Linked DNA regions of Lepisosteus oculatus. Each later gene encodes a partner of the first gene's protein in a complex. Links are inferred from orthologs where the notes say so. Each region holds a gene or a part of one and is shown on either strand. Other genes may lie near its edges. The genes, in order: ahi1 and tmem237b.

Region 1 (11,942 bases):
GACATTTGTTAAATTCTTCTATACCATCAATGAATTTATTTTGTTACCGAGATTTAATCACCAGTCTGAGAAATTGGGACTACAGTTTCTATTTAACAGATGACCTTTGTTTCCAAATACATAATTTCTCCAGTTTCAACTTTTTTATTCAAGACCTGTGATTACAACTGCTTTTCTTTTATGAATGAATGATTCTGTCTCAATAGGAAAAAAATTGTAGCCATTTTATAACTTGTAAAAATTGCTTTACATCTTTTGCATTGTTGACCAACATTTACAAGACCTTTTCAAACTTTTAACATTTCAAGTTCGTAAATAAACTTTTGTCTGTCTTTTAGGACTGTCTTCATTTTATTACTCCTCCATTAACCTTTGCCAGGAACAAAGAAAGCACAAATCCACAGTCAAAATCACTCCTTACTATAGGGGATATTTTATTACCTTTATTGTTACATTTATTAAAATTGCCTTATTTATAGCAGACAGTTTCAAAGATTCACTAATCCTGCACAAGCCCTAAATGTAACGAATTTGGGGACAGTGTGATATAAATCATAATCAGTATTTCCCAGACATCACCACAACAAATGTATACCCATTCTAATCACATACAGTATATTCATTTACAAATAAAATATTCATAGTTCTTAATTGTTTTTTCCTACATGTCATGCATTGAAATGCATTAAAAAGTTTGCTTAATATCTGTACCTCAAAAAAAAAAGAAAACAAAAGAACAAAATACATTTGTCCTTATCTTCAAAATTTGTGCCTATAATCCTTCTTTTGTTAAGTACAATTAAAGGACATATGGACCACCAACCTCTCCAGTGGGCCATCAGATCCTTATAAATAGAAGTCAAAGCATTCACCTCATAAGAAATCCCACCACAATGTCATGCAATACCCTCAGGAAAAGGGAGAGGACTTATTTCTCAGCATTGCAATGACAGAAAATAAACACACAAATTGAACTAAATAAAGTTCTGCCTTTGAAAACATTTTGCAATGTGCTATCATCATCAGCCACTGCCCTTAACTTCACTGAACTGTAACACAGAAGAGTAAAAAAGAAAACCACATCCAGCATAAATTCCAGGAAATGAATTAGACTGAATGCACCAAAACAGAAATAGTCAAAAGTGTCATAGTTGTAAATACTAACAGGGCATTAATTGTCAGTCTTTCAAGTACAAAACTCACATGTTCTATGCTGCATTTTCTTTTGTAATGGTTGATATAACCCATATGAATCAATAGTAAATATTAGTTTGGTTTCATACACAAAAGGGAACATTTTTTGGTTTGCAAGATATCTCTTTAGCCTTTTATCATACTTTCAACTCACTGACTCTCACAAATGACAAATGCAGCAGTGAAAGGCAATGTCTTGATCTGGCAATGTGGCTAAGGATTTGCGCCTGTGGCTGGAAGGTTGCCAGTTCAAATCCTGTGGCCAACAGGGAAATCCTACTCCATTGGGCCCCTGAGCAAGGCCCTTAACCCCAACTGCTCCAGGGATGCCGGTATAAATGTCTGACCCTGCACTCTGACTCCAAGCTTCTCTCTAGCCGAATGTGTGCCTGTGTGTCTCATGGAGAGCAAGCTGGGGTATGCAAAAAGAGTAATTCCTAATGCAAGAAATTGTATATGTCCAATAAAGTGATCTTATCTTATTTCCAGCTTTGTTTCAGGTTTATAGCAACCCATCATCAAGTTCTGTGTCAGAGTTTTCATCTCAATCAGCTTTGTCCAGATCCCTTTAACTAATACATTTAATCTGATTACAACACCGCAGAAGGAACTAATTTTATCCTGTTAATGGGGATTTTATAGCCCTCCGGTTAAAATGGTGTATCACAGCCTACTTCAGATCTATTCCTTTGTGAGAAACAGCTCCCCACTTCTTTAATTACTAATCAGCTCTTATTACTAAACAAAACAGGCACTGACCTGTTGGCTGCTCTGTACTGGAGAGGGCTAGAGGGCCTACAAGAGGAGTAGCAAGTGCTAATGCTCTCTGATTGCAAATTAATAGATCTCTTCCCTCAGAAGAGGCAGTCTCACCTCGTACCCCGAGCAACCAGGATGTCACTCCAAGCTACTATTACCCTGACTCAAAATAAGTGGGTGTCTATTGTAACAAATATAAGAAATATAAGATATCCCTGTAATCTCAATCATAAAGAGAGGAAAAAAACCCTACATTCAGTTTTTTAAAAACTTTTACCTACATTTGATATTACATTTAGATGCCTAATGATCAAATGTAGCTAAAATTACTTTTCGGAAACTGAATACAGTAAAGGCTTTCTGCCTCATTTCTTCAGAATTACAGGTTTATCTTCTTTTTGTTACAGAAACACAACAGGTTCTTGTCAATGCAGCAATGCAGGTGGTCCAATGCCGCTCCTGTTATATCAATATATGTCAGCACAGAGGTTTTCATTCAAACTGAGCACTTAAATCATCTCATTACTGACTTAACTGTACCAATACATCAACTTCTCCCAGCTCTTCAGGTGCTGCTGACTTACAAAGTGGTCCTCCAACACCAGAGATGGAGCACCTAATACTCTGTTCAGCTCCTTAACTGTCACAGTTACTGTATAAATAGCTGCAATGTCTACACTATCTAGTCCCTACACAGTGGTTTCAGATATGAATTTTCAATAGTATTAGAATATCTAATGAGAATTTATGTAACCAGGACTACTGGAAATTATTATCTGTGAATCTATCGTTGTAATTGTAACTGAAAAATAAGATTCTAACAATAAGATCTTAATATTCTTCTGGTCTTCATATTGCCTCAGAAATGTCAGCATTCAGAATATTGTGCATCATAAATTTCCATTACAAAAACATTATTTGGGGATGTTTGAGAATAACAACCAGGCAAAGTTTGAGTCTGTTTCATTGCTTCAGCACTGCTTATCTTTCAATAACTTAAATACAGGTCTGAAATTGGTCTTGGCAAGTCTGGTGTCCCCCAGGGCTCAATACTGGGCCCCTTGCTCTTCAGCATTTACATGTTCCCACTTGGTCAGCTTTTAAGATCACATGGCCTCAGCTTTCATTTTTACGCTGACGATACTCAAATATACATCCATACCAAACCTGACACTGATGTGGCTGTCTCTATTCTATCTAATTGCATCTCTGACATAAAAATTTGGATGACTCAAAACTTCCTTCATCTTAACTGTGACAAGACTGAAGTCATGCTTATTGGTACCCCCCATCAAGACTATGCCCTATGCTATCATTTACTGTGGCTGAAAAGATGATCAACATATTTGTATTCTCTCGAATTGACTACTGCAATGCTCTACTCCCTGGGGGTATCTAAATCTACTCTGAACAAGCTGCAGTATGTCCAAAATTCAGCAGCCAGAATCCTGACCAGGTCTAGTGCAAGTGTTCACATTACTCCTATCCTGGAGTCCTTGCACTGGCTTCCGGTCAAATTCCGCGTAGACTTTAAAATCCTCATGCTCACCTATAAGGCTTTACATGGCTTGGCACCTCAATACCTGTCTGAACTTTTATCGCCCTACTCCCGACCTCGCAACCTCCGCTCTTCAAATTCTGCCCTCCTTATTGTCCCCCAAGCCCGTCTACATTGTATGGGCGACAGGGCCTTCTCCTGCTATGCCCCCAAGTTCTGGAACTCTTTGCCCCAGGATATTAGAGAGCCACCTTCTCTAAACTTCTTCAAATCCAGACTCAAAACCTTCTTCTTCAGAAAAGCCTTTACTTAACTGGTTCCATTCTTCACCCCTCTGCTCTTCTTAGTAATACCTTCCACGGTCTCCCCCTATTGTTATTGTTGTATTGTTGTAATTATAATTGTGTCCTATCTTGTGAAATCTTCTTATTTATTGTTGTAGTCTTCTTATTTATTGTTATTGTCATCCTGTAAAGCGCTTTGAGAAGCCACCTTTAAAGGTGCTATATAAAATAAAGTGTATTATTATTATTATTATTATTATTATTATTATTATTATTATTATTAAATGTTTAAGGTTAGTTTACAGAGGAAATTAACTGTAGAACTACTTCCAGACTTCATGTACCTTGTAATAACACCAAGTATAGTTCTAGTCATGAGCTGTGAAACCAGTGGTTTTAAATGTATTTGTTTGGCTTGAATTTCAATAGCATCATAGCATCTTGTCATTTATCCCACACACAGCGTGTGCAGCTTGCATCTACAGAGCTGTACATTTTACTGGAACAATCTGGCTCAAGGGACAACAGCAGTGTCCCACACGAAATTCGAACCCACAACCCTCCAGTTATATACAGTAGGTAAACTACTCCTCCAGTGCTTAGTTTACATTTCAGGAGTACTACATTTTTTCTTTTTGCGAATATATTCTTGACTGAAGAATCAAACCTATGTAGCGACTTCAGAAACTTGAACGCTCTTCTCTAAATCTCAACATCACATCAGCTTAAGCTTTACGGTGATGTTTCGGTGAATGATGGAGAGATAACAGTCAATTCTATACAACCCTACTGGTATCAGACACCACAACATGACTCACGTCTAGTCCTTAGCAACAGTGCCGAATGACATATTGAGAAAACAGAACCCAAACATGAAATCGCGATCAAGATGCTACATAAAAATAATTAGAAAACAGCATCCTCCGCAAACTTTACTCCCGCAATCAAAACAAGCTGAACTCATATTTTAAATACTGAAATGCATGCTGAGTCTCGAGACACGTACCTGTGTACATTGTTATTCTGCGGACTTTTGTGTGTGTCGTTTACTGTATTAAAACACGAATCAACACACCAGGACAGACAAATGCATCAATGGAGTCAAGCCGTCACGATGGTTTCTCAAACAACAACATTGGCGAGAGCCGCTGTCCGTGTGACGCCACAGCACGCCGTCGCCAATCAGAATCAAGCGTCCTCTCCTGCGGCAGACAGTAGGGTAGGGTGTCTTGTGCAGTGGCGCAGGGAACAAATCTGTGCGTGCGGGGTCATAGAAACCAACAAATTACAGGAGACTAGAGTAAAGTTGGGGTTTGTGACTCTGGTCTGTTGTGCGCTCTTTTTTAAATCTTCCAGTCGTAGTCATGTTTCAATGTGAATGAACATCATTTTTAATTCTTATTAGTTCGACAGAGTATATATTAAAAGTGCAAAAACACCAAACAAGAAAGGCTGCACGAAGCACACGTAATTGCAACGTTGTCAAATAATTTACGTTTTGCTATTAAGGCACAATGGCATATGTATCACATTTAAAGTGTGTGATTTGCATACATTGGTGGGTGAATGTGAGTTGAACTTAAGCTTAAATTTACAGGATGTCCATATTTGAAATTGTGCAAGCCGGACACTGCTTAAAACTGAAAGTATTATTATATCGTTCAATTTCACACGATGCCTTCTTAATATTTCAAACCTCGACTGAGTGATTGGTTAGTGTAATAATACATTGATATTTACTCTATAAGCAATTTTCTGCCTTAACATTTCAAAATATGATTATAATGTTTGAAATGTTTTAGTATGTTTATGCGTTGATCTATTTAAACGATGTTTTGTGCTGTACTGCATGAGAAGCACCGTTCAAATACAATCATTGTTACCATATTTAATTATCTGCAAATTATTGAACATAATCTTAATTGTTTTTCTTACTTTCACTGAAAAACCTTTCATCATTGGTGTAAATTTACTGTACGCACAATGCACTGTAATGGTTGTGCTGCATTGTGTTGTTGCCACCAGGTGGAGATCAGATACCACCAAACTAAATAGCTCCTGCATTTGCCACCTGATTATGAGAAATTCTGTCTGTAAACTCCTTTGCATAAACATTTACTTATATAACACGGGATGAATGTATGTTCGGTCATGGTTCATTCCAAACAGTTAGTTTTACAAAATAACCAGAACTATGACTTGGCAGGAAACCTGTTTCAGTTTGTCTCTTGGATCAGTTTAAAGGGCCAAATCAGCCAGGCATTTCTTCATCTCTAGGTGCTAATTCCATGAGTGGTTTGTGATACACTTCACTGTATTATGGTTCCCTCCTCCTTTGGAAATTGCATTGTTTTTTTTTTGCAGTGATTTTGAATGGTAATCTTTTCTGCTCTCTAGTTATTCTACTGCCTCTAATTTAGCTTACCTACAGCTGTTATTCTGCAAGGATCAGCACCCAGGCACCTTATTTACTTCCACACCTAGTCTCTTGGTTGTCTAATCTTATTTCACAGGTACCACTTCTTTGTTCTTTGTTAACAATGCTCAGATTCCTTTCTCCTTTCTCTTCCATAATTCTGGCATTTGTGCAACAGTGTTTCAGTTACAGTATGTCCTCATGGAATAACTCCTCTACTTCAAGGTCATATTTTTCAAGTCAGACATATTATATATTCTATAATCGTCTTCCTTGCTTACTATTGATTTTTCTGTCCATCTATTTCTGACCACTTTATCCAATACAAGGGAGCTGGAGCCTAACCCAGATATACCCTGAGATATACACTGGAATAGAACACCAAGGTACACACTGAGAAAACACAGACATACAGTACACATGCACACACACACTCACTTTGGATTCTGGGAGGAAACTGCAGCACCCGGAGGAAACCACTCAAACCAGGTAATCCTCTACCATACTTTTCTTAGCCATCTGCTCCATAAAACTTTTGGTCCAAAACCATATATTTTGTAGACTGAGCTACCTCAGCTGTTTTGTTTTATGCTCTCCACACTTTAGAGATCTGCACCACCTCTTCCATATTTAATGAAAACTCTGTTGCTCATTTTGTATATAATCTATCCCTCTCCTGCTTCATATCTGTTGCCACTTTCACCCTCTCATATTTAGCAGCTGGCTTCCTTTCCTTTCTCTCCTACATGCCTTGTCCACTCACTCGTCTCAAACATTCCCTTGTGGTGTAAGCAGCTACCAGAATCTAACGCTCTCTCTAACCCCTACCATAACACTCTCTCTGTAACCACTGTCCTGTGCCTTCTTAAAACACATGTACTGTGACTTGAAATAAATGTGATTTATTTATCTTTCGTGTGATCTATAAACTACTCGTTTTACTATTTCACACTCTCTATTACAAATCAGGTTACAAAATCTTTAGCAAAGCAATGAAGCGAAACATTTTAGAGGATTTGCACAAAACAGAACCTAAGAGATTAATCAGAGAGATGAATCACAGAACCTAAATTACAAAACCACTTTTTTATGAAAAGGAAACCTTTCAAAATGATGAAGTTTTTTTTAACTAATGCAAAATTAAAAATCCGTGTTAAATATTAATGCCTTTTCTAAATTACTTTTCTTAAGTATTCAACATATTGTTAATGAACGTTTGATCGGTACTTGATTATAATACATTTATTGCTGTTATATTTCATTATGATCTACTGTATGCTCACTTTTGTAAAAGGAAAATGTACTTCATTCATTGAACTTGACTGTATGTGAGCAGCTCCATTTTAGGTTTGGGTTACCATTTAGAGCTTTCACCAAGCACCGTGACTTCTCTTTAAGATTGTCCTGTATGTCACCAGAGTGTCTTAATTTTATTATCTATCAGTTAATTCATCTGACAGTGTGTCACAGTACGTGCTAACACACTGATATACAGCATTTTTCCAGGGACCCACTGTGATTCTTCAGAAAATAAAAAAAATGCATCTTTAAATATATGTTGGCAGTAGGTTATTAATAGGTAGCAGACAAATCTACCTCCACCCTTTCCCCAAACCTAGAAGGTTAGCGCTAACTTTGCCATTGGCACGGTTTTCAGCCAGTTCACTAAATCAGGCGGACTCCTTCCTTCCTGCTGGGGTCACTTGCTGAGTTTATCATATCATTTATGCTACATCTTTGTATCTCCTAGGTTACATGCAATCTCTTCATTAAATTCTTTTTTGTTGTTGTTGCTGTGGGCGTTCTGTGTGAAAGCAAAATCAATGTTTAAAATCATGAGCTCCAGAGACCCTAACTTTATAAGAGTATATTGTAAAATATTATATTTAAGTTTGAGTCCTTTAATATATTATCATTAGTGTTCTGACAGTTGTGGAATATTTAAAACATTTGGATAAAGTAGAATTATAAAGACCCATTCATTAATATTTTCTTGCTTGATTTTCCTTTAGCTCTACTTTGTAGAGGCAGGGCAAATGACGTGCACAACTCATATACAAGCAACAGTTAAATTTATATCTAATAGTGTTTCAAAGGAAGTGTTTTCCATTAGACCCACTTTAAGTCCTTCACCAGAATTTCTCTTAGATTTATTTGTGGGGGGTTTTCCATGCTACAGAACTAAAAAATGGAGGCATCACAGCATGGGCTTAACCTTTGTACTTTGTGAGTAATGTGCTGACGTCACGCCTTCCAGATTTAGGCATTCCTTGATTAAACCATCACGTTCTTGTGGGAAAAAAAACTTGTAGTGAATGCGAATCATGAGCTTCTACAAGTATGGCTTGATAGCTATGTGCCATATCCTTTATTTAATTTTGTGTAAGATGCAGATATTCACTCAGATATTAATTCTGTACTGTGTGTCTGTCAGACTATAACTAAAGTCCACACCCATTTGTAGCATTTCATGAGCTTATCACCACCAGCTCAGTTTTACACATTTTGCTTGCTTCTCCACTGACCAAAAAAACAAAATAAATAGAACATTTTTATTTTGACAAATTAGATTCTCTTCTTATTAATTATTGAAGATGCATCCATGAAATCAGTTTTTTACGGAGTCACAGGCAGCTCAGATGGCACACAGACACAAATATGATAAATATACTGATGGAAAAAAGAAATGCAGCACCTCTTCCTCCACACTCTGGCCCTCCTGTCTGAATGGAACAGGCTGAAGAGTGACTCATCCATGAAAAGGACCTGATGCCACTGCTGACGAGTCCATCGCAGCCTCTGTCTGGACCAAGCCAGTCGGTTGTAACGTCTAGGAGGTGTAAGCAGAGGGCCTCTGACAGGTCGCCTTGCTCTAAGGTCAGTAGCATGGAGCCTCACTGTCCTGTCACTGATGTGGGCTTTGTTTCTGCCGGAAATTTCAGCAGCAGTATGGGTGGCAGATGTTTCAGATGGACCAGTCTGATGTGTCGGTCCTGCTCTGGTGAGGTCACTCTAGGGTGACCGAATCTTGGATGGTTATCTGTACTGCTGGTCTGCTGAAACCTTGACATGCCTACCAGCAGCATGCCAATGGCCCTCTCCCTTGCTTCTGGTGACATTCGAGGCATTATGGAATGCATAGAAATGCATAGAAAACTGACTACTGACCTAAGTGTGGCCTTTCTCTTGCAGTGACCTAAGCTTTGAATTAAGGCCTTTTTAAAGGTGACCTGATCAGGCATTGTTCCACCTGGACCTCAATGGGTAAAAGTGCACCTAACGAGCTTTCATGTGATTGGCAAGTTGCAATACTTCACTGCACAAGCCGTATTGCTGGTCAGGGGGCTTAAAACAAATTGACAACTTTTTGGGAAAGTACATAAGCTACAGTATAACTATAGTATTCTTGTTCCAGAAAATGGTGTGTTTCTTTTTTCCATCAGTATAGATACAAGGGGACCAGCAGCAAAAAAAAAGTTGTAGGCCAGGCATCAGGAACTCTAAACTTGGTCCTGTACACTAGCTGCGTTTTAACATGTTTTCTACATTCATCTGATGTCTGCCTGCTCCTCCTGTTCTGTGGTCTTCGTAGTCAATACTATAGTCTACACTGGCAGTGTGCACAGAGGGTCAGCAGCCCAGTAGAGTGTGAGGCCCCACTTCCTGCTCCATTTCTATCTGTTTCTTGTCTATTTTTACACATCTACTGTATGTCTGTTAAGTAGAGAAATAAAAAACACATAAAGCTACAGTATGTCCTGCAATGGAAATTATTTTTATTTTTTAAATTTTATCATCTCAATGTCCCAAAGGCTCATGCCCTCAAAAAAATGTATTGGATGCTCGCAAGACTGTTGATGAGACTACTAGTTTTCCAGATCAGTTGATGAGGTCAAGGGCAGGGAAAACAAAGACACAAAGGTGTTAAACCCCATCTTGGATCCCGTTCGCTTTCCCTGAGTTTATTTCAGTTTAATTCCAAAGTAATATCAAAGATATTATATGCTTGCAGCACTGAGTCCCTGGGTTCAATTCTGGACCTGGGGTGCTGTCTTCATGAAGTTTGTATGTTCTCCCTGTGTTCATGTGGGTTTCCTCTTGCAGTACAAAAATATACTGGTAAGTTAATTGGTTTCTGGGAAACTTAGACCTGGTGTAAGTTTGTGCATGTGTGTGTGTCTATCTGCCTTGTGCCTGTTGCTTGCTGGGTGTGAGTCTCTGAGACCTGCAACCCTGAGCTGGAAGCAGTGGTTAAGAAAATGTTTGGAAGTTTCACAGAATCAACAGTATCCATATGGTATTCTTTATAACAAGGAAATAATTGGTTCAGAAGTTGAGGAGCTCCTATTACTAGCACTGGGACATAATAGGATTGGGGACAGAAACAGTATAGATCACCAGACGCTTAAAATTGTAATGTGAGTGTAACACTTACAGTATGTGTCAGAAGCAGCGTAGATTCATTTTAACCTCTAAACCCAATGTGCCGATCGTGTGATCTCTTAGGCTTCACAGGGTTCTGTATGCTAAATAGGCAGTTTAGCTTTAGGACCAAGTAGGTCAATGGAATCTTAAAATCTCTCAATTTAAGATACAAAGATCTTCAGATTTTCCATTAAATGTTCAAATCTGTAACAGTTTTCTCTGGATGGAAGCTTGAAACTGCACACAGTAAATTGTGTAATTTTGGATGGAAAATGTGTATTGTGCTAAAAATTGCTTTATGTATTCTTTACAAAAGCCCCAAAGTCCCTCTGATTAAAATCCTACTGAAGCTGAATCATATTAAAAGATACTTCTAATGCCCCATGTGAGACATAGCCTGCTTTTGTGATAAAAGTGGGCCAGCTCATTATTTGACAGCATATGAAATTACCTTACCTACCCTTTCTGAGTGTCATGTCAGACTCTGTCAGATGTTTTTTTCATGTTTTATTTCTAACTGCTTAATCCAATTCAGGGGTTGCAGAAGAGCCAGAATCTATCCAGCAAACAACAGGCTCAGGGATGCCAGTCCATCACAAGGCACACACAGACATAAACACAAACTCACAGCAGTGAGCCAACAACAGAAGCCAAAGACACAAACCTACCAATTTGTCTTTGGAGTGGAAATGCTAACCACTGCATCACCATGCTGCCTGTATAGAACATATGTAAAGTTAATTTTTCTCCTAGATTTCTTAAATAATATTATTTTATGTTTATATTTCAATTTTGAAAAAGGTTATGGTATCTCTAGTTCAAGTTCAAGTTCACATTTATTTGTCATTCCAGCCATATACAAGTATACAGTGTAATGAAATATCGTTCCTCCTGATCCACAGTGTAAATACAGACAGTACAGACAGGACACTGACATATACATAGTAAAATATACACAACACACTGGGGGGTTTTAAACCCTGTTTCTGGAGTTGGAGTGGGTGCAAGTAGATTCAAGGGTGTTGAGGAGGGCAAAGAGTTTATGGGAAGGGTGGGAGGGGTCATCTACTATACTACAGGTCCTGTGTAAGCATCGTTTGTGATACAGTAGGTGACAGAAATGGAAGGGAGGGAGGCTCCAATGATCTTTTCAGCTGTTTCCACAATCGTTACAGGGTCTTGTGGTCTGAAGCATTGCAATTTCCAAACCAAACAGTGATACAGCCGGTCAAGGTGCTCTCAATGGTGACAGTAGAAAGTGGAAAGTGTAGAAAGTGGTAAGAATGGGCAGGGGAAGGTTTGCCCTCCTCAGTCACTGCAGGATATAGAGACATTGCTGTGCTTTCTTGGCTAGGGAGGTGGTATT
Region 2 (11,745 bases), on another chromosome or scaffold:
GTCCTTCCTGGATCTCTTAAAACCGTAGTTTTTAACCCATTGGGTTAAATTCATGAGCAGTGTTTCACTAAAGCATGGTAGTTTAATAGGTACCTAACTAATTTGCCACCTATTACATGTTGTCCATTCGTGGATTTTTTGGTTGTTGTGCTTATGGCAATACTGACAACTTGTTCATAGTTCAAGTTATATACTGTCACTACAAGTTCTATAACAATGACTCCTTGTATCTTCTCTTACATCTCTTCCAGAAGAAGATGGGTTCAGTGCTCTAAATCAAGGCTTGTATTTAGGTATGCTGAAGTTAATTTAAAAATGAAGAAACTGGAGGATCCATTTTATCAGCAGCTGCCAAAGCAAAATAAGTTGGAGATGACTAAAATATTTCTCTTCCTGGATTCATAGTGGATGAATGATGAATTTGATGAATGATGAATTTGCCACGCCAGATGCAAAGTCATGAAGACAGTAAAACATAGGTTGGGGAAATAGAAAATATTTACAGTTTATGCATCACTGTTCAGTCTGCCCCAGTATTAGTGTCCAGTTTGAGACATTTAAAAAATGCAGTCCAGTTTAAGAAAAAGACTGAACACCAGAGCCGTGTTAAGGGGATGGCTCAGTGTTTTTGGCAGGTGCTCCTGTTTCCTCACACAGTCCAAAGGCATGCTGGTAGGCAAATTGGCTTCTGGGAAAATTGGCCCTGGTGTGAGTGTCTGTGTTTGTTCTACTGTATGATAGACTGGCATCCTGTCCAGAGTGTATCCATGTTCCTTGCCATTGTTGACCAGGATAGGGGTTACCCATAACCCTGAATTAGATAAAGCACTTAGAAAAAAGAATGAATAGATGGAAGGCTTTCCATGGGTCTTGCTCCGCTGTTAAAGCTATGACCGTGCGTGCGTTTTGTTTGACCGGCCTCTCTGTCTTCGGCCTTGTTTGTGGTCTTCAGCTGGGTTCCGCAGAAGCTTGCGCCTGTGCAGGAGAAAATCTCGCAGCAGCCACCAGCAATCCTGCTACGCTCGCTGCCCAAGCAGCTGCTACAGTGCCCTGGCCTCACCCTACGAGGAGGTAGTGAGATACCAGCGCCACCCTGAGGACAGACACCGCCTCATTGTCCTCATCGGTGAGCTACTACACCACTAGTGCACACTCCTGGTAATAAAAGTGTAAAACCTCTGAAAGGCCTTAGATAAGTGTACTTACGTACTATATAATCCAATTCTGTAAACCTGAATTTCATAAAATAACTAGCCACGCACATTGGTGTCCATATTACTGTATATTGCTGGTTCATTTTTCACTAACATAACTTCCCACTATATGGGTGTATATTAGGTGTCAGGAGCAATATAACTCAGTATAACTCAAGACAAATGGCAGCTTCAGGAGAGTTAGCTGTGAATTTAATGGATATATATCTCTAAGACAGATCCTTTGCAGTCACAGATGCCAGTGCCATGTGTTTCTCTATATAAATACACCGCCCACAAGCCTGCTGATGATGAATTTCCTCTTCAATCAAACTGTAGAATGTACGTCTTGTAAGCTGGAGGTTGTAAAATCAAGCTCCAGCTTGTACACGACATAGTCTCGACTCTCAGAAATGCTTCAGACCCCCCTGGATTTTATTCCGACCAAATCATTAATTATCTAACCTAAAACCTTACGCAGAACCTTAATGCGTACGAGGAACTCCGATCAGCAGAAAACACACGATCCCTACCAGTGAACAGAGATCATCAATCACAGTTACATATTCTTAAAAGTCAAAGGTAGAGCTGATCACACACCAAGGAATCAAGAAGTTCAGTAAGTACATTTTAGAGATACATTCTCAAAACTCTGGACTTGAGTAATAACATTGCAGTAACATGGCCTTGAACATTGTGCAGCACCCAGACAGACACTTATTCATGAGGACTTGAATACCGTATGTTCAGTATATTTTGATCTGTTGAAGGAACACTGCACATCTGTGCTCTTACTGGGAGCTGCAGGGCTCCATATTAATTTAATTAGGCCAATTTAAACTTTTCCCCAGGGCTTAAAGCTGGAGAAAGAAGGATTTCTGCACAAATGTGTAGTGCAGGTGCTCTCCTGGTGTTCCACAACTCTAGCAAAATTCGTGTTTTCAGAACACCCCTTATGCTAACGTTCAGTGTTTCCTGTGCCAAAATGAGTTCTCCCTAATACTCTGCTTGTGTTCCCCGATAAAGTAAGACATATATCCGGATCTTTGTGCTTTATTTTCTCAGGTCCCTCTGGAGTCGGGGTGAATGAGCTGCGGAGGCGTCTGATTGAAATTAACCCCAAGATCTTTCAGGGGGCCATTCCACGTACGTGCTCTGTTTACATGTGGTTTGGGCGTTCTTCAACATTAAGGAACATTGCTGGTGATCTAGGGGTCTTGCAATGCTAAGCCTAATCTGAAAAGCTTTAACTGACATTTAGATTGCTCTCAATCCTTAACACCTTTGTGCTTTGTTTGAAAGATTGCTCCTAACCCTGCTTTAATTCAATGTGCAACAATTGTGAATTTGAATCATATTCAGAAATTGGGAAAAATAGTGTTTATCTCAGTGTTTGCCCCAAGCGCAACATTTAGCCCAACATCAACTATTGAGTTTCATCCTCCCTAAACAATAAAGCTCCATGTAACAAATACATCACTTAACAATTAACAAGAAAGACTTACTTGCCACATTCAAACATTTCCTCATTTGTTAAAAGAGAAAAGTTTAAGGGCTTATCAGAAAAAAGGTTTTATATATTTTCAAGGTCTTGACTCCTGAAATAAGTTTTCAGATGATCTGCACAGAATTTAAGTACAGGAGAAAATAAAGTAAGCTGTTTTGTTTGTCAAAGTGCTAACTGTGCAAAAGACCATCACCACAGCAACTGCAGCTGTTTAAAACAGTTGATCTGTTATTTATTGAGTTTTGTAACACAATATATTTTCATTTATCAAAAAAGCTAAAACCTAATTTTTGGTGGCTCATCTGATTTTATTTGATGTGTCACCAGACTGAAAATACATTTTGTTAAAGTGTGTGGCAGTCATTTTCTTCTTAGAATACAAAACTGCCCAATTAGTTTAATTCTGTATTGAGCATATTGACTTACAGTGACATAAATTCACTGCTCGCTGTGAACCGATTTATATCAACCACATATTTTGGGTTGGCATTGATACTAACTTATAAGGAATCCAAAGCTTTTGTAGAAGTGTTCTTTTCCTTTATTTTTCAATTTGAGATTGGTGCCTGTATAATAAAAAATCATATTATTGTGATGAAATACAAGGGATTCTTATTGTTTTGTAACATAACCTAGCAGCTTATCTTGGGAGAGTAACGCAGTTTGGTCATTTAAAGACTGCTCAGCAGGCAAGTATAAATCTGTTCAAGGATTATTAATTCCAAAAATTTTTAAAAACAATTGCTTTTAGCCTGAGTAATGGCTTATCAGTAGTGTAACCTTTTTAATGTTGTATTGGGCCAGAGCCGTTGTAGGTTTTGGTGTGTTTAATTATTGCTGTTGTCTAATGGGTAAATTTCTTAAACAGACACAACCCGACCCCCAAAGAGCTATGAGGAGAATGGGAGAGAGTATCACTTTGTAACCAAGGAGTTGTTTGAGAACATGATTCACAGTAACAGGTACTATTTGTTTCAGTAACACTTCAGTACAGGTACAGTACACAGTTTCTTGTGTAGTTTCAATAATTGAAATACAGTAACTGTTTTGCTCTCTGTGTTTGAAAGGTTCCTTGAATATGGGGAATATAAGGGCCATTTATATGGCACAAGCATTGACTCTGTCAAGGAAGTTCTGGAGAATGGAAAAATTTGCATAATTGACCTAGAGCCACAAGTAAGAATTTCTTACTACTTCTTCAACATGTTGTGATGTGAACTTCATACACAATTTGACCTGATGTGACACTTAAGTAAACAAATCAATCGTTCAAGCGTAATCTTGCTGACTGGAATTGTACAACAGAATGACGTTGTGTTGGGGAAAAAATTACAGAAAAAATTATGCTGGAATTCTGGAATTCTTTTAGGTGTTCTGCAGCTCCTGCAGGCCTTGATTCATAGCAAACAACTTTAAACTTTATCACAATATTTGTGAAAAGCTAAAAACAACAACCATTAATTGTAGTAAATCTGTTTTACAGGGCATTCAAGGTGTGAGGACACATGAACTCAAAGCATATATCATATTTATTAAGCCATCCAGCATAATTCGCATGAAACAGACAAGGAAGAGTGCCCGTATCATCACAGATTATTACGTAAACCGGCCTTTTAAAGTAAGTTTTCATTTTCAAAATGTATTTTTCTTGTTCTTTGGGAAAATACTTGAAGGACAGATTTGTCAGCCTTTAGGAATCTTCTTTGTTCCTTTTCACTTGTTGAATGTGTTTCTGTACTAATCAGTATAGAATCAATTAATAAGCGTATTTATAGCGTTGCTGCATCAAAATACTGTATTTTTATTACAAACTATAGTATACTCTCCCGTAATGGTAGAAGTGCAGACTGAAGTTTGGAACAAATGTTTCTTTTGCTATATAGTACTGACATTTTGGTGACAATGTACAGTATACAGGGGAAAACTCTATTCTGGTATTCAGTGCACCACACAGACTGCTTCCTTTGGAGTGATGCTGAGTGGCTATTCCAGAGAGGGCCACTATGAAGAGCAAAGCATAAGTGATATACAGGTTATACATGGCTCAAACGCAGACTGTATCATTAGTCAACAGTGACTGGGTTTTTTCCAAGTGGTGGTGCACAATGTTTTCACAGCTTGGTGTATAACAACAATCCCTGTGAGTTAGTGGACAGAGGTGAGCTTGTTGACTCCTCCAATCACTTCTCTGCTGTTTGTAATGCTTTTAAAGTTGGGTTGCAGAGCTCTGTACTTGAGCAACAGAGAATTGAAAATCCTACTGAACGGAGAGAAAGGGGCTTTATAATTCCATTGTTATTTTAAAATATGAAAAAGATGGTGCTGGCGGACGGTGCTAAAATGGTGCTCTGCTTCACAGGAGGAGGATTTCCAGGAAATGGAGGAAATGGCGAAGAAGGTGGAGGCCCAGTACTGCCAGTTTTTTGACCACGTGATCGTAAACGACAGCTTGCAGGACTCCTGTGTCCAGCTGTTAACCGCTGTGAGGCGGGCACAGGACGAGCCGCAGTGGGTTCCAGCTCTGTGGCTCAGGCCTGCAGAAGAGTCCTGATAGAGGAGAGGGGAAAAAGGGACAAACCACACCAAAACACAGGGGTAAACCTCATCCTAGCCCAGAGACTGACTGAAACTGTGAGCTTCACTAACAGTATCTAAAGCATAACCTCAGTGCTAGAACGATGCAGTGTGCTCAAAGTTGTTTCAACGTTTTTATCAAGTTGAAGGACTTTTTAATGACCCATACATAAAAATCCTAAATGCTGGCAGTATAACAGCAAGGTTACTGTTAGAGGTCTCCTTGCAATATGGAGAATTTAGGGGCCAAAATACTTATTTTTCCTGTATTTACAGTATCCTTGAGAACTCTGGGAATCCTTTATTTTCCCTGTGAAATGACTCCAGTATGATATCACCTTTAGAATTGTTGAAGGAGTTTTACTGTATATCAACCATAATTCCTGTCCTTGTCCTTGTCCATGTCCTTAAATTAGACAGAATTCTTCTTGCTTTAGTTCCTGAGTGATGTTTTGTTTTTCAATTATTTAATCTAATTTATATTACAATATAGCCGGATTTAATGGTTTGTGGCAGTCTAGATTCCTACAGGAGGTCGCCATAGTGTGTGTTAATGGGAAACGCCTGGCTTTAGAAAGGCACAGAGATTGTGAGATTTTACAACAGGATATTTATACGATGTACCAAGAACAGCCCAATAACTTGTGTTTTCGTTATCCTTTAAAATGTACTTATTGACCATGATATTTGATTTGAATATCACTGTTCAATTACATAAATCTGGGTTTCTACAACTTTTAATGCTGTCCTTTATGCCATAAGGTTATGTCGTAGTATCTGTGATGAAAATTTAATTTACTAATTTTGGAACACCTGCCTGTGTACTCAGGTAATACAGACGGTTATAAGTTAACCTTCTCAGCACAGGCTAGTCATAATGACTGTTAGATCTTTGCAATTTTTATGTATACCAAGATAATTGTGGATTTTATTGTACACCTTTGTATTTTCTTTAAGTGTATGGTTTAATAATTTATTTCTAAATGTAAGAAGAGAGTAATGTTTTAAGTGGTTCTGAAATTGTTTAATCATCAGTTTTTCAATAGTTCTAAAAACAAATCAGGGGGATTTCATTGCATCACAGACCGCTCCAACATACAGTATAAGCCGAATTACTGATTTGTGAATTCATTTGTATCTAACCTTAAAATTGTGATCTGAAATATAAACTCTTCTAGTTTATTCATCACCTCAATATGGAATTTATAAAACAATCTATAAATTCTTTTTATAGAATAAATGACTTTGACTTTGAATAATCTACATATATTTGAGTGTTTTCTTGTTTTACTGTATGTACCACCATTTTTATTTAAAAACACCAAAGTTAATTACAGAACCTGTGGTACCACAGTGTGATTTACTGTAATTTGAATCTTTAAGTTTTCTGAGAATCCAAAATACAATGTTAGCCGTTTTTTTTTTAAAAAAAGATTTCTGTTGTCTAAACATTTTTATTCGTTTCTTTTTTAAGTAGGTTCTGCTGTTTTTGTGCAATATTGGTAACAAAGAGTGTTATATGAAATATTTTAATAATATTATTAAATGCTGAATTGATTGATATTTAAGCTGTACGTTTTGTGGTTGGACTGAACATTGTCTACTCTGCTCCATTTAATGTCATTAATGCGGATTAACGTGTCGTCATTCGAACCGAAATCTTCATACAACTTGATCCCTCTCGCCATTTTTAGAATACAAATTCATTATTCATTATTAACAGGTCCCCTAAATGAGAAATCCAGACATTTTCAGGAGGTAAAAAGATTTAATGAAGTATCAAAATCCTAACGTTGGGTGTTTGTCACTACAATCAGAGCTTCCCAGGTGCGTCCATCTATCCAAGAAGATACGGGATGATGGAAATTGCGCTTGTATTACAAGAAATAATGTAGCCGTGATTTAACCCGGAAGTAGACATGATTGACCTCCCACTGGCTCGTCGCTCTAGCAACAACGGTGTACAACAGCATGGAATTTGGTGTTCTGATTGGCAGTTTTGTTGTTATTCTTCTTTTTGTACAGTAGTTTTCTATCTTCAGAAGCTTGTTGTATTGACTTTTTAAAAATGGATGAAATTCCACGGGTAAGTGGTTTGAAATAAAATCGATCGAATATGAATGTTGAAAAAGGTGTAGTTGCAAAAGTTTAACGAGAAGCCACCTCACTTTTGTTGATTAAGATGGGTGATTATTTAAAATGTCTTTCGTGTTCATAGATTGTATTTTCAGTCTTGAAGGCCGAAAATTTTGTAAAAGTAATACTGGCTGAACCGTTTGTATTTAGTTTAGCCAGTATATACACACTAATGTCGATTAAAGTAAAATATATATTTTAAGCAATGAAGTGTCATTCTTTAATTAGAAAAAAAACATTCCCTTTAGTTTCAAATACTAGTACCAGTCGTTTTCATTAAGTATACATATTTCACGATATTATATACAGGAAGAGTTTCAAAAATGTTTGGTGCCCTAATATTTTTAAAGCTGGTTTGAAATCTATCTTCTATCCTTTTAACGGTATTGTCCATCTCGGCAGTAATAGCTGTTTTTGCATTAACTAGTACTCGCCTTGAATGAACACGGCGACAACAAGAACTTGCACTGTTGTCCTTTAAAGAAATGAAAATTGTATAAGAACTATGACGTTTATTTCAGTATTCTCTGTAATATGTAATAGCCCATACACGAACGCACATCATGAATGCGACATTCAAGATAAGTGAAATATTTATTGGGTTTAAAATATCAAAGCAAATGTGAACAAACATATAAATGCAGATTTGTCTAAGATGGTATCCAGAAAAATGTCTTTGCTCTTTGCCTGTTATTCCTTCCTTGTGAGCCCTGCTTTGCACTACAGTCCCAGCTACACAGCTGCTGGCTTTGATCCAGCCCGGATCTTGATCCTTAAGTAAACTAATAAGTCGTTTGTTTGGACTGAACTCTACAACACTGTAACGGTTGTTGCGTCCTCTGTACGTTTTGTTAGGAAGGATAAGGATTTGTTTTACCTGGATTTAAATCTGGCTTCCAAAAGAAGGATACATCGCACAAGGAGACGACTCCCTTACAAGGCCGGTGTTAGATTTGCTCCTGTATGTTGCCAGCAGAGGGCGCTGTCGCCACAACCACCTGGTAAATTTCTTTCAACCAAAATGTGGTCATATGCTAGCACGCCTGTCTGCACTTATCTGTGCAGTTCTTGGATCGTTTCTTTTTCAGGAAGGGATTTTTACTTCATCCATCTAGTAAACGCATGTAAGCCCTTAAGAGTGATTACCAATGAGAGGAGTTTATTTGGCCCTTCTCCATATCCCCAGGGATACTTTCGACAGCGTGGCTGGTTAGTATTTGGCAGACTCCTACAACTCTTTGTGTAAAGATGTGCATCCCTGATTTCCACCCTAGCTTTACTGTTGATCCTGAGGCAGTTCTCTCTGAAGAAAAATGCTGTGCTCATTTAGTCTGTGTGAGCATTACACTGTGAAGTATACATTTTGGAGGATTTTAAGTCCCTGGTCTAGGGACTGATTAAACCCTACAGCTTTATTTTGTTTCAAAAAGGGGAAAGCAAGCTAGAGCCCAGATAGTGGAGGTCTGCAATTTAAAGGTGCCCTCTAATCAAAGGCTTTATGCCATGAACTCAGAATGGGATCCTGTGAGAGAGATTTGTAGCAGTATTGTTTTTTCAGGTCTTTTTTGGGTTCACTTATGGCCCTGGGGTCCTGTCTGTGTGGAGTTTGTATGTTCTCCCTGTGCTCTCGCAGGTTTCCTCTGACTGCTCCAGTTTTGTCCCACAATCCAAAGACATGGTGGTAGGTTAACTGACTTTTGAAAATTGGCCCTTATGTGAATGGTGAGTTTGCACATGTTCGTATTTGTCTGTGTGTGTCCTGCAATGGACTGGTGTCCCATCCAGGATGTAGCCTGCCTTGTGCCTGTTGCTTACCAAGATAGACTGCTGCTCCCCTACAACCCTGAAGTGAATGAAGTAGTTAGAGGATGGGTGGATATTGACCCTAATGAGCTGATTATTTCTTTAAAGTATTTTTTTCCTTTTTAGTTTAAAAGGAAAAACATGAGGCCTTTGAATGTTATTTTTCAAACTAAAGCAGGGACGCTAGCTGAAGATCGTCTCCGCACCTACCAAGGTCAAGTGCTAGCATACAAAATTTGCAGAATAATTCAGAAAACAATGTGAAAAGAGAAGATGGAAAAAACAGGAAAATGCCAGTTAAATATAAGATTGCTATTAGTTTTACACAATATCCTTATTCAAGCTTTTAACCACACTGGATTTATTAAATGAATAATTTTCCAGATTGAAGAATTTGTCTCTGTACTTTTACGCTGTGACAATCAATTCTAATGAAATGATTATATCACATTCTAAGTAATGGCACAAACTAGCTAGGAGGCAGATGCTAAAAACAGCAAAACAGCAGGAGGGGCCTCTTTCACATTAAATACAAGTAATTAATGAAAGGATGGTGTGGAATGGAGCGAACCTTACAAAGACTGTAAAACCTGTTCTTAACACAGAATAGCCAATCGAATTCAGGATTTAAAAGTAATTTTATAATGGAGTGATTTCCTTTAGAATCTTGTTTAATGACCGCATGTGTGCTTTTGCCAATAATACTGCCTGATGCGATGGAGGAGCTGGTGAACTCTTTTAACACCTGTTGGCTGTTGTCCAGCTTATTTCCTCTTGCTTTCCCTTTCTTATTCATTACTGTTTAAATTTAACTGAAGAAAAAACAATACAGGTCAGCAGTTCTGTAAGTCCCTCTGAGAAAATCAGTGCGCTGATGTGCATTTTGATATAAATTCACTTTTTTATATAAAATGCGTCCTCGGACAATTTTCTTTTTAAGAAGTATACAAAAGCAGTTATAAACCATACCTCTCAATGTCGATGTAGAACCCCAAATATGTTGTATATCTGTGCTGACTAGGCTATCTGTTTGAATAGTTTGTAAAATGGGGAAGTTAAGCCTTATCTACTGTGAAATACCATCTTTTGCAAACTGCTAGACCGCTTACAGAGTAACTTGGACATCCGCTGCAAATATACAGCTTTCTTAGAAAAATGAGAAAATCAAATAGCTGTTTTATGCTAGAAAGGTGACTGCTATTGCATAACTGTGAAGAGTTGGTTACCCCTAATGTTTTTGTACACCACTTGTTTGGCTTCTGACCTTTATCAATAACAAATATGTTCCCGTTTTTCCTCACAAACGTTTGCTGCTCGTAAAGATAACCAGCCTTTTAATCTGAGGTTCACTACACATGGATGTAAGTAAAATGTGCTTCAGCTTTTAAAACTTAAAACCTGCTATGATGTGTTAATATTTGTAAATTAAATGTCGCCAACCCAGACTCAAATTGCGTTTCTCTCCCACTAACTGTAATGATTACAAGTCAGTTTTGATTGTAGAATAATCCAGAAAATAATCAGCTGCTTATTCAGTAGTTTATCTCTTCACTCAGGCAAGCTCCCCTTTGAAGCAGGCATCAAAGTTGGCTTAAAACAACACATTTCAAAACAACACATTTTGGTTGTTTAGCCCAAAGGTAACAAGCATTGAAAATGCATGCGTGCATAATTTTCACTTTCATGGGAGGTGAAATTGTTCTTTGCTCACTAAATTAAATACAGCATTACCACCATCTTGGTCTCATCTAACCTCACAGACACAGACACTCAGACCCAGAACCAATTTTCCCAGATTCTGTTTAATCCACCAGTAGGCTTTTGGACTGAGGGAGAAAACTGGAGCTCCTGGTGGAAACCCACATGAACATGGGATCACATATAAACCCCATTCAGAAAGCACCCCAGGAATTGCAGGGACGCAGTGCTACGAGGCAGCAGTGCTAACCACTGAAGTGCCACTTTACTGGAGAGCAGCTCATGTAAATTTCAGGCAACCAGAAATCAAAATATCCAGTGCCATCTCCAAAAAGTCTTTGAACATGAGGCATTTTAGAATTGTATTTTTGTCTCGGTGCAATTCAAACTTTTGAAGTTGCTCCCACATATCTTCCTATTGCAGAAGCTTGCACAAGTATTTAAAGACTGAAAAAGTTCTATTTAATCCTACCAGTACTCCCTCTTCCATATTAAAAAAAAACGCTTGCAGATTCTATGTAGTGGGAAGATGGTAGACAATCTTAGAGCAATGCAAAACCTTTGGCTGTAGCTGTACTTTATCCTTCCTTATTTTGTGTTAGTAAGCTCTTTTCATCATATGCTTACCCCAATAAGCTAACTTTTTATAATGCTAAACAGTGATTTTTGTTTTTGCATAAGATTTGATCATTTTAGTTTTTGAATTTCTGCATTTTATTTTTCATGGCTAGTAACTCTTTCTTTTGGTTTCTGAAATTACCCTATATGTAATAACCTTGCTGTTCTTGTACTGGATAAAATGCATAATATTTCCTTAGGAGATAGTCCTTTCCA

What was found.
Region 2: ahi1 (region 1) and tmem237b share a complex: the UniProt entries of both Homo sapiens proteins name them as parts of the tectonic-like complex. The link is inferred for Lepisosteus oculatus from reciprocal best matches to the Homo sapiens genes AHI1 and TMEM237.

The regions. Positions count from the first base shown.
Region 1 is NC_090697.1:50,191,469-50,203,410, forward strand, and holds the start of ahi1 (jouberin), read right to left. Parts: upstream 4,953-11,942; 5' UTR 4,742-4,952; intron 1-4,741. UniProt on the Homo sapiens protein: Involved in vesicle trafficking and required for ciliogenesis, formation of primary non-motile cilium, and recruitment of RAB8A to the basal body of primary cilium.
Region 2 is NC_090707.1:34,915,827-34,927,571, forward strand, and holds the start of tmem237b (transmembrane protein 237B), read left to right. Parts: upstream 1-6,931; 5' UTR 6,932-7,342; coding exon 7,343-7,360; intron 7,361-11,541; exon of another isoform or gene 11,542-11,745. Other genes in the region: mpp4b (MAGUK p55 subfamily member 4), read left to right, coding at 252-293, 953-1,126, 2,259-2,339, 3,569-3,662, 3,768-3,876, 4,184-4,318, 5,060-5,251. UniProt on the Homo sapiens protein: Component of the transition zone in primary cilia. Required for ciliogenesis.